Linked DNA regions of Sus scrofa. The protein of the gene in region 1 interacts with the protein of each later gene in a biochemical or structural test. Links are inferred from orthologs where the notes say so. Each region holds a gene or a part of one and is shown on either strand. Other genes may lie near its edges. The genes, in order: PLXND1 and SEMA4A.

Region 1 (4,487 bases):
GCCAGGGCCTGAGGATCACGGAGAAGGGATGGGGCAGGGCTACAGGGGGCCTGGCCCCAAGGAGGAGAAGGCTGAGTTCTGCGTTTTGAGAAGTTAAGGCTTCCCCCGGGAGTGGCCAGGTCTCCTCACAGACTCAGTGCGGAAAAGGCACAGGGACACCTCCCAGGACCCCCTGAAGAAGTGACCCCTCCTTGATGGGCTTCCTTGAGTGGAACCACACAAAGTTCCCCCTTGTACTGGGCCCCTGTGTCATGTCCCCCCAAGAGACATCAATCCCCCAACCTGGCTCACTAGTCACTGCCCAGCCCAGCCCAAGCCCCAGCTGCTGTGGTCCTACCACTGGTCCTCCCTGTCCCCTCCCGCACTCCGGTGCTGCATGCAGTCTGCTCACCTCTCTCCACTCTCCCGAGGCCAGCACCTTTTGACCCAGCCACTGGGACTCCTCTAACACACACCCTGAGCTGTGAGGCAGCAAGGGCTGGGCAGCATTAAGAACACAGATGCTGGGGCCAGACAGCCCAGATTCAAATCCTGCCTCTGCTGCTTCCTAGCTGTGTGATCTTGAACAAGTTCCTTAAACTCTGTGCCTCAGTTTTTTTATCTGTAAAATGGGGATGAGAACAAAGTATATCTTCATGTTACTGTTAAAAACCTAGAGTTAGGCCATGGGGTATGTATCCCACAACTGCTCCTGCCTTCCCCACTAGCCCCCATGCCTGGTGCAAGTGTAACACTCAGTAAATTGTGTTGAATGAGTGAATAAAAGTTGGCCTCAGGAACACACCTCTTTGCCAACCAGTGGCCCCCTGAAGAGTGCCTATTGGTTCCCAAATGCCTGTGTCCCTTGCCACATATCCCACTGTGCACCTAGGCCCACCCTGTTGCACCAGTGTCCCTGCTGCACGTACCTTGCAACTGCAGGGCCATGCTCCACACCTGCCTGCCTCCCTGCACACCTGCCACACCCGTGCACACATCTGCCAACTCCCAAAGGCAGCCCTGATGGGCTCACAGAGCTGGCCCAGAACACATATTTGATCAGACACTGCACTCACTTGCTGTGCCTTCAGCTTCAGCCCTGAAACACCTGTGACCACCAGCGGGCTGCGCACAGTTGGCTCTCTCTCCAGCGCCCACCTGGAGACCAAGACCACTCCCACACACCTAGATATGCGTACCTGTAATTCAGCAGGCAACTTAAGTGCCCCATGCTCACACCTGAGCCATATTCACACTAAGTCCCCCCACCACTTCGGCTAACACCTGCATCCCCGCCTATATCCTGTCGAGTATACCTGGGTCCCCGCAAATGCATTTGTGGCCCAGAGTACACACTCGGGTCCCCGTACACGCATATCTGGGTTGCATCACGGTCACACCTTGCCCAGTTACACAACTTGCCCAGTTACTGTACGCTCTCCCTCGATGGTCCCTCGCACCCTCGCACCCCGGCGGCCCGGGCGTACCTGGATGTTGAGCTTGCGCTCACAGGCTGGCCCGGTGCCCTGCACCACGCTGTCGAGCACCGCCACCACGTCGGGTGCGGGGTCCACGAAGCAGGCGTTGCGTGCGGCGCGGATTGCGGCTTGCACGTCGGCGAAGCGGAAGGCACAGAGCGCCGCAGGAGCTGTACGGGCCGCCAGGGCTCCCTGCGGCCGCTCGAAGACCGCAAAGAGCCTCTCTCGCGCGGGAAAGACCGATACCAGGCGGCTGTAGAGATCGCCGCGGCCCGCGCCGCCCGCGCACTGCAAGCCTAGCTGGATGTAGGACTCAGTGAGCTTCTTGGCGTCGCCGCCGGCGCCGCGGGGCAGGCAGATGCGCGCCAGCAGGCTCCGCGCCTGGCTCTCCTTGTCGCCCGCGCGCGCCTCGCTGTTGAGCGCCAGATACGCGTAGGTCTGGGCTCCCGGCTGCGGGTCCGGAGGATGCAGGAAGGCGCGCACGAAGCCCAGCTTGTGCTGCTCCTTGGCGCTCTGCTTGATCTTGAGAATGTTGTCGTCGGAGGGATTGAGGTCGAAAGTGAAGAGCTTGGCTAGGTCGCCGCGCGCATCCAGGGAGCGGATGGAGATTTCGGGCGTGTTCTCGAAGCGGTGGTCCTCCAGGCTGGAGTTGCGCGGGAAGAAGGCGCTGCCGTAGCCCGTGTACGTGGCGCCCACGAGCAGGCGACTGCCCCCGGTGCCGGCGGCCGGCGGCAGGACCAGCCCCACGGTGGACGCGTTTGGGTGGTTGGCCGCCACGTTCAGCATGCTGGGGAACACCGTGACGGGCTGGGCGGGCGGCGCGGCGGGCGGGAAGTGCACCGCCACCGCCGAGATGTTGCCCCGCCGCCGCAGCTGGCAGAAGCCCTGGTAGATGGAACCGCACACGACCACCAGGCCCTGGCCCGGGTCCAGCTGCAGGATTTTGTTGTAGTTGTCAGTGAGGCGCCGCGGGTGCTCGCACGAGGCCTGAGGCAGCTGCGGGGCGTGACACAACGGGCTGTCCGCCACTGGGCCCACGGCCGCCTCGGCCTCCAGGCTCAGGTTAGCGCCCGACAGCTGGTAGAGGCGGTTGACGGCCGCCAGGTACACCGTCCCCGCCGCGCCGTCCAGGGCGAAGTTGTTGGTGGGCGTGGGCGAGGGGAACCGGCGCTGGATCTCCAGAGCGTCGATCCGCGCCGCCCCCAGGAACAGCAGAAGCAGAAGCGGACACGACGGGGCCGGGAATGGCGGGCGCCGCGGCAGGGGGCTGGCCGCGGCGGCCCGGGCGCTAAGGGGTGCGCCGCCCGCGGCGCGACGAGCCATCCGGGCGTGCGCGGGCTGCGCGGCGCGGCGAGTGCATGGGGCGCGGCGCGGCCGGGAGCCGGGAGTCCGGAGGCGGCAGGAGGCGGGGGGCGGGCCCGGGCCGCGAGGCGCTTCCTGCCCGCGCCAGCCGCCCCCGGCCCCGGCGCCCCGGCCGGGCTCAGCAGCTCAGCGCAACCCGGGGGCGGGACGGGGGCGGCTCCGCTGCGGACACGCCCTCGCGCCCCGCCCCCGCCGCGCCCCGCCCGGCCGCGCCCCGCCTCCTGGGCCCCCTCCCGCCCGGGGCCCACCTCCCCTGGCGTCCCGGGCCTCAGCCCCCGGCTGCCACCCTGCCCTCCGGCTGCCGGGCCCCCGCTCGGCTGTCGGTGTGTCCCGCCGCCCCGTGCCCTCCAGGACCTTCCCGCGCGGCGACCGCGGCCCAGGGCTCCCTTCCCGGTGCTGCCTCCGCCTCCGTCGCTGGTTGCTTTAGTTCCTTCTCCCTCTTGGCTGTTTGGCCTGTCTCTCGGGCTTGTTTTATTTTTTCCTTCCTTTTTTCTGCCGTCTCTGTCTCTCTTCCCTTCTCGATGTCTGTCTCTCAGTGTCTCCCTGTCTCTGTGCTCCCCCTCCACCCCCACCCCCCCGACTCCTTGCGTGTTGTCGCTCCTTGTCTCAGTCTCTGCTTGTCTTTCGCTCTCCGTGTTACGTCGCCCCCACCCCCACTTTCTCCCCTGTATCCTCTCTCCCTTCTCTCCGTTTTTCTGTGCCTGGTTCTCCTCCCACCTCCCCTACCCCGGTCCCCTCGGCCAGTCTCTGTCTCCCTCCCTCTCTTTCTCTCCATCCCTCTACCCGCTCTGTCCACCCTCCTCTCTGGCGCCCTCCCCCTCTCTCTCCTCACTCTCCACTCCCTTTCACAGGCACCCCCAGGGGCAGCTGGGGAGGGGGCACCACCCCATTCAATCCCATGATCTGTCCTTCAAACCCCAGCCCCAAAAGAGGTTGGACAGGTGACAGGGACAAAGGGACCAGAGCTCCAGGGTCAGACATGAAACAGGGAACGTGGAGAGGAACTGTTTCAGGCCTGTGCCAACCGGGGGGCCACCCAGAGTAAGATGTCAGTCCTGGAGGATGATGGCCCTAGGACGCCCACAGTTGCCTCCTCTGGAGACCAAGCTGCCCTCCCACTCACTTTATTTGGGACTCTGGAAGGATCTAAAATCCTCCCAGATTTAGTGGAAGATCAGCCACAGGTGAGCTGGCACTGGGCCTACTTCTCCTTTCACCTGGGAGGAGCAGGTGAGCACTTGGGGCCCAGGCAGGCAGTGATGACTACAGGGCCATAGAGCCTGCATCAGGAGTATGCATGGCCTTGGCCACAGTGGGTGCCAAGGTGCAGTTCGCCCCCTGCCAGGCACTCTGCCAAGCCCTTCACCCACACAGCCACCTTCTGAGGCTGGTACTATTATAGTCCCACCTTATAGATGCAGAGCCTGAGGCCCCAGAGGTGAAGGGACTGGCCCAAGAGGCACAGCGCTTAAGGAGCAGAACTATGACCTTTGAAAGCCCAAGTCAGCCAGCTCCAAACATCCACCCCCCTCAACTTTCCTCCGGCCCCAGGCCAGCTCCAGGCTCTCAAAATGGGGGACTCCCACATGGTGGGTGCACATGGTACCTGTGGTCCCGGCTCTGAGGGTGGCACGGCCTCCCTCACCTGGCCAGGAAGGAAGACAGGGG
Region 2 (3,805 bases), on another chromosome or scaffold:
TGGATCTGTTTTCAGAATAGATTCGGATAACTGAGGAAGGGTTTGGGGTTGAAATAAAGAGCTTAGAAAACAAAGCAAAAAAAAAAAATTAAGATAAATTACTAACCCCAAGGAAAATTAAAAGTTATGGAAAAAGGAAAAGTTATCATGGGGAGTTCCTGTCGTGGCACAGTGGTTAACGAATCCGACTAGGAACCATGAGGTTGAGGGTTCGGTCCCTGCCCTTGCTCAGTGGGTTAAGATCCGGCGTTGCCATGAGCCGTGGAGTAGGTTGCAGATGCGGCTCGGATCCCGAGTTGCTGTGGCTCTGGTGTAGGCCAGTGGCTACAGCTCCGATTAGACCCCTAGCCTGGGAATCTCCATATGCCTTGGGAGCGGCCCAAGAAATAGCAAAAAGACAAAAAAAAAGAAAAGAAAAGAAAAGTTATCATGGCTTACTACCTGGCTCAGTTATGAATAATAAGTCATAATACAAATATTGATAAAATCAAAATTACTATAAAAGTCTATTGGGAGATAGGGGTGGGTGCAGGGGTGTGTTGGTAAGGCAGCTCTGGGATGATGGGTGGGGGAACCTTGATTTGAAGTGTGTGCTGATTTCCGTGATGTATTATTCCCACCATGACTGACTTCAAGCTATCCATATAATGTCATGGGATGTGAATTTGGAAAGGGTTCTTTCTTTTTTTTTTTTTTAATTTTTTAATTTTCCCACTGTACAGCAAGGGGGTCAGGTTATCCTTACATGTATACATTACAATTACATTTGGAAAGGGTTCTTGCAAGTTGCTGCAAGGCAGTTCCAGCACATGGCTGAGTGGGGGTGAGGAGGTGGGGGGACATGGTTAAATCCTCACCATCCAGAATGGGAATTCAACAGTTATTGCCTAAAACTGAAACATCAAGAAGTAGCAATAAGGAGTTCCTGTTGTGGCTTAGCAGAAACGAACCTGACTAGTATCCAGGAGGAGGCAGGTTCGATCCCTGGCCTCACTCAGTGGGTTAATGATCTGATGTTGCTGTGAGCTGTGGTGTAGATTGCACATGCAGCTTGGATCCTGAGTTGTTGTGGCTGTGCTGTAGACCAGCAGCTGCAGCTCCATTTTGACCCCTAGCCTGAGAACTTCCATATGCTGCCAGTGTAGCCCTTAAAAAAAAAAAAAAAGTAGCAATAAAAATATTTAGAGATTTGGAGATATATATCAATTGAATCAGCTAAAAGAATTGAAGGTGGCTGTCTCGAGAGCAGGAAAAGTGCCAAGGATAGGGAATAGGGCTGTTTTTTGTAATCAGCCATGCAGTTTTATATGACTCTTTAAATGTTGTACATATATGACTTTGATCAAAAAACAAAACAAAAATGAAATAAGAAATGCAGGTGACGATGCCCAAGACAGTCCTTGGTGTTAGCCTGTGCTCCTTTGTTTCCTTAGTGATATGCCCAGGTATGTGGCATGCACTTAGCTGGGGTGAAGAGGGTACTCCTCTGTGTTTAGGGTGAGGTTGGACAGCTGGAATGGGTATATATTTGAGCAGACAGGACTTGGGAGTGTGGGGAGCACTCACATTTGCTGGGCATTTGTACTATGCCTTGACAGGTGTTTTGACATGCATGTTACGTGCCTGGGAGGAGGGGCTTCATTCAGTGGGTTGGGGGGTAGTACTCACGCTGCCTGGCCGGGGACTAATATCAGGGAACCCGTAGGTAGTCCAGCGTGAAGTCTCTTTGTTCAATTCCTTGTACTTTCCCTCAAAGACACGCTTGATGTCCTTGAGAGAAAAAGCACAGACAGCAGAGCTCCGGGTCCCACCGACCCGCCTAGAGACAGCCAGAGGGGACATTGTCTGTAATATCCTCTGCTGTGCCAGAACTCCCCCTCTAGCCCTTACTTCCCACCCCACCCGCCCCCCACCTCTGCCCTCCCACCTTGGTGAGAAACCCCAGAAGAGCTGGGTCAGGCCCAGCTGTGGTGACAAGGGCAAGGAGAGCCCCAGACTCTAGCCCATCTTAGGATCTGAGATGTGACTATCGTTAATGAGAATTAATTGGGCTCAGGGGTGCCTCCTGCCCTTCCTGCCCAGACTGGGTCTCTATGGGAGGGACAGTGTAACCAGGTCCCTGACAAGCTCCAGATGAAGTGCTCTTGCTTGGGGTCCCAGAATTTCCTGGTCTTCAGATAACCAACCATAACCTGACTACAAGATGATGTTTATTCCTTCAGCCCTGATCTGTGGAGGCAAAAGATCTGTCCCTCTTGTTCTCTTTAACCTGACGGTGGCTTACACCATGTTCTCAGTTCTGGATGCCACAGGTACCAGACCCTGCTTACAACAATAGATAACTTTGGGTCTTTTTAGGGCCACACCTGTGGCATATAGAGTCAAATCAGAGCTACAGCTGCCTGCCTATGCCACAGCCACGGCAATACAGGATCCAAGCCACATCTGCAACCTACATCACAGCTCATGGCAACGCTGAATCCTTAACCCCCAGCAAGGCCAGGGATCGAAACTTCATTCTCATGGATGCCAGTCAGGTTTGTTAACCGCTGAGCCATGATGGGAACTCCACAGATATCTTTGGTACCTGACACACTGTCAGCAGGTACCTGAACCCTGTGGGCCAGACCACAGCAAATAAGTTAAACTTTCTCAGCTTCCAAGCAACGACTTTATTTTTATCTTATGTTACTGATGATGTTTCGCTCTTCACTCTGACCATTAGGAAGCCCAGAGGTAAATATGGGCTGTATAAATGACAGAGACTGTATAAATGACAAACATTTATAATGTGCTGACCCTATCTCTGGCTTCTCTTATTCTCCTTTTTTTAACACTTCCTCATAGGTTTTAACATTTGCTTTTCATAAGCTGCCTCCTATCCTTTTTGGAACCAGGCAGGGTATAAACTAATCAGAACTTTTCTGATTTACGTTAAGGGCATCAGTCAAATTCCTGGAAGACAGTGATCAAACACCCTCCTATGCGAAGTGTGGAGTGTGTGCTTGGCTCACATCAGTTCCTACCTTCCCTGGTGAGCCAAGGCAACATGGGGGCTGATCCCAAATCCCACTTCCAGACCCAAGTTCTCGCCTAGCTGCTCACCACTGAGAGGTGAAGACTGCGTAGACATGGGGATCAGTGGAGTAATTGTCTGCCAGCAGAACGGCGTGGCGGATGACGTTGAAGGGCAGCTGTCCGGGCTGGGCGCAGAGCAGCTGGGCCTTCAGGAAGGTAGTCCACTTTTTCTGCAGTAGCTTTTCTCCCCCCACGTCGTTCTAGGGGCATCAGAGGAGTCAGAGGGCCCGGGGTGTCCTCCCCCTTCCCCTCCCGGAAACCACGCCCTCTCCCTCCCACTCGATTGGGTCCTAAATGCTCAGCCCCGCCCATGTCACGCCCTCATTGGCTTCTCCACGGTCAGCCCCGCCCCCCACCCCGCTGGCCGACCTTGCAGACTCTGGCCACCCGGGATGTGTGGAGCTTCTCGAAGAACTCGAACTCGCTGGCTGTCTCCTCGAAGAAGAAGTAGACGACCTGGGTCGAAGGAATGGCTGCCACAAAGGAGGCGTCCGCTGCCAGGGCGGAGTAGATAGGCTTAGAGATGGAGCACCTGGATGCCCTGGCTTCCCCTCTGTGAAAACCCTTGGCTCTAGAAGCCGGGTGACATGATGCCTCGGGTCCCACAGTTGGTCGAGGCGTAGACATGGGTGGGAGGATGAAGTTGGGGAGCGACTGGTGCTTCTCTAATTTATTTACGTAAGAGGAAAACTTGACGAGGACGGAAGCTTTTCTTCCCTGCTGTACC

The links.
Region 2: the proteins of PLXND1 (region 1) and SEMA4A form a complex in vitro, tested with the Homo sapiens proteins (2 studies listed by IntAct, with this or other methods). The link is inferred for Sus scrofa from reciprocal best matches to the Homo sapiens genes PLXND1 and SEMA4A.

The regions. Positions count from the first base shown.
Region 1 is NC_010455.5:68,993,790-68,998,276, forward strand, and holds the start of PLXND1 (plexin-D1), read right to left. Parts: upstream 2,837-4,487; 5' UTR 2,781-2,836; coding exon 1,467-2,780; intron 1-1,466. UniProt on the Homo sapiens protein: Cell surface receptor for SEMA4A and for class 3 semaphorins, such as SEMA3A, SEMA3C and SEMA3E. Plays an important role in cell-cell signaling, and in regulating the migration of a wide spectrum of cell types.
Region 2 is NC_010446.5:93,876,248-93,880,052, forward strand, and holds part of SEMA4A (semaphorin-4A), read right to left. Parts: intron 3,573-3,805; coding exon 3,448-3,572; intron 3,279-3,447; coding exon 3,106-3,278; intron 1,820-3,105; coding exon 1,669-1,819; intron 1-1,668. UniProt on the Homo sapiens protein: Cell surface receptor for PLXNB1, PLXNB2, PLXNB3 and PLXND1 that plays an important role in cell-cell signaling. Regulates glutamatergic and GABAergic synapse development.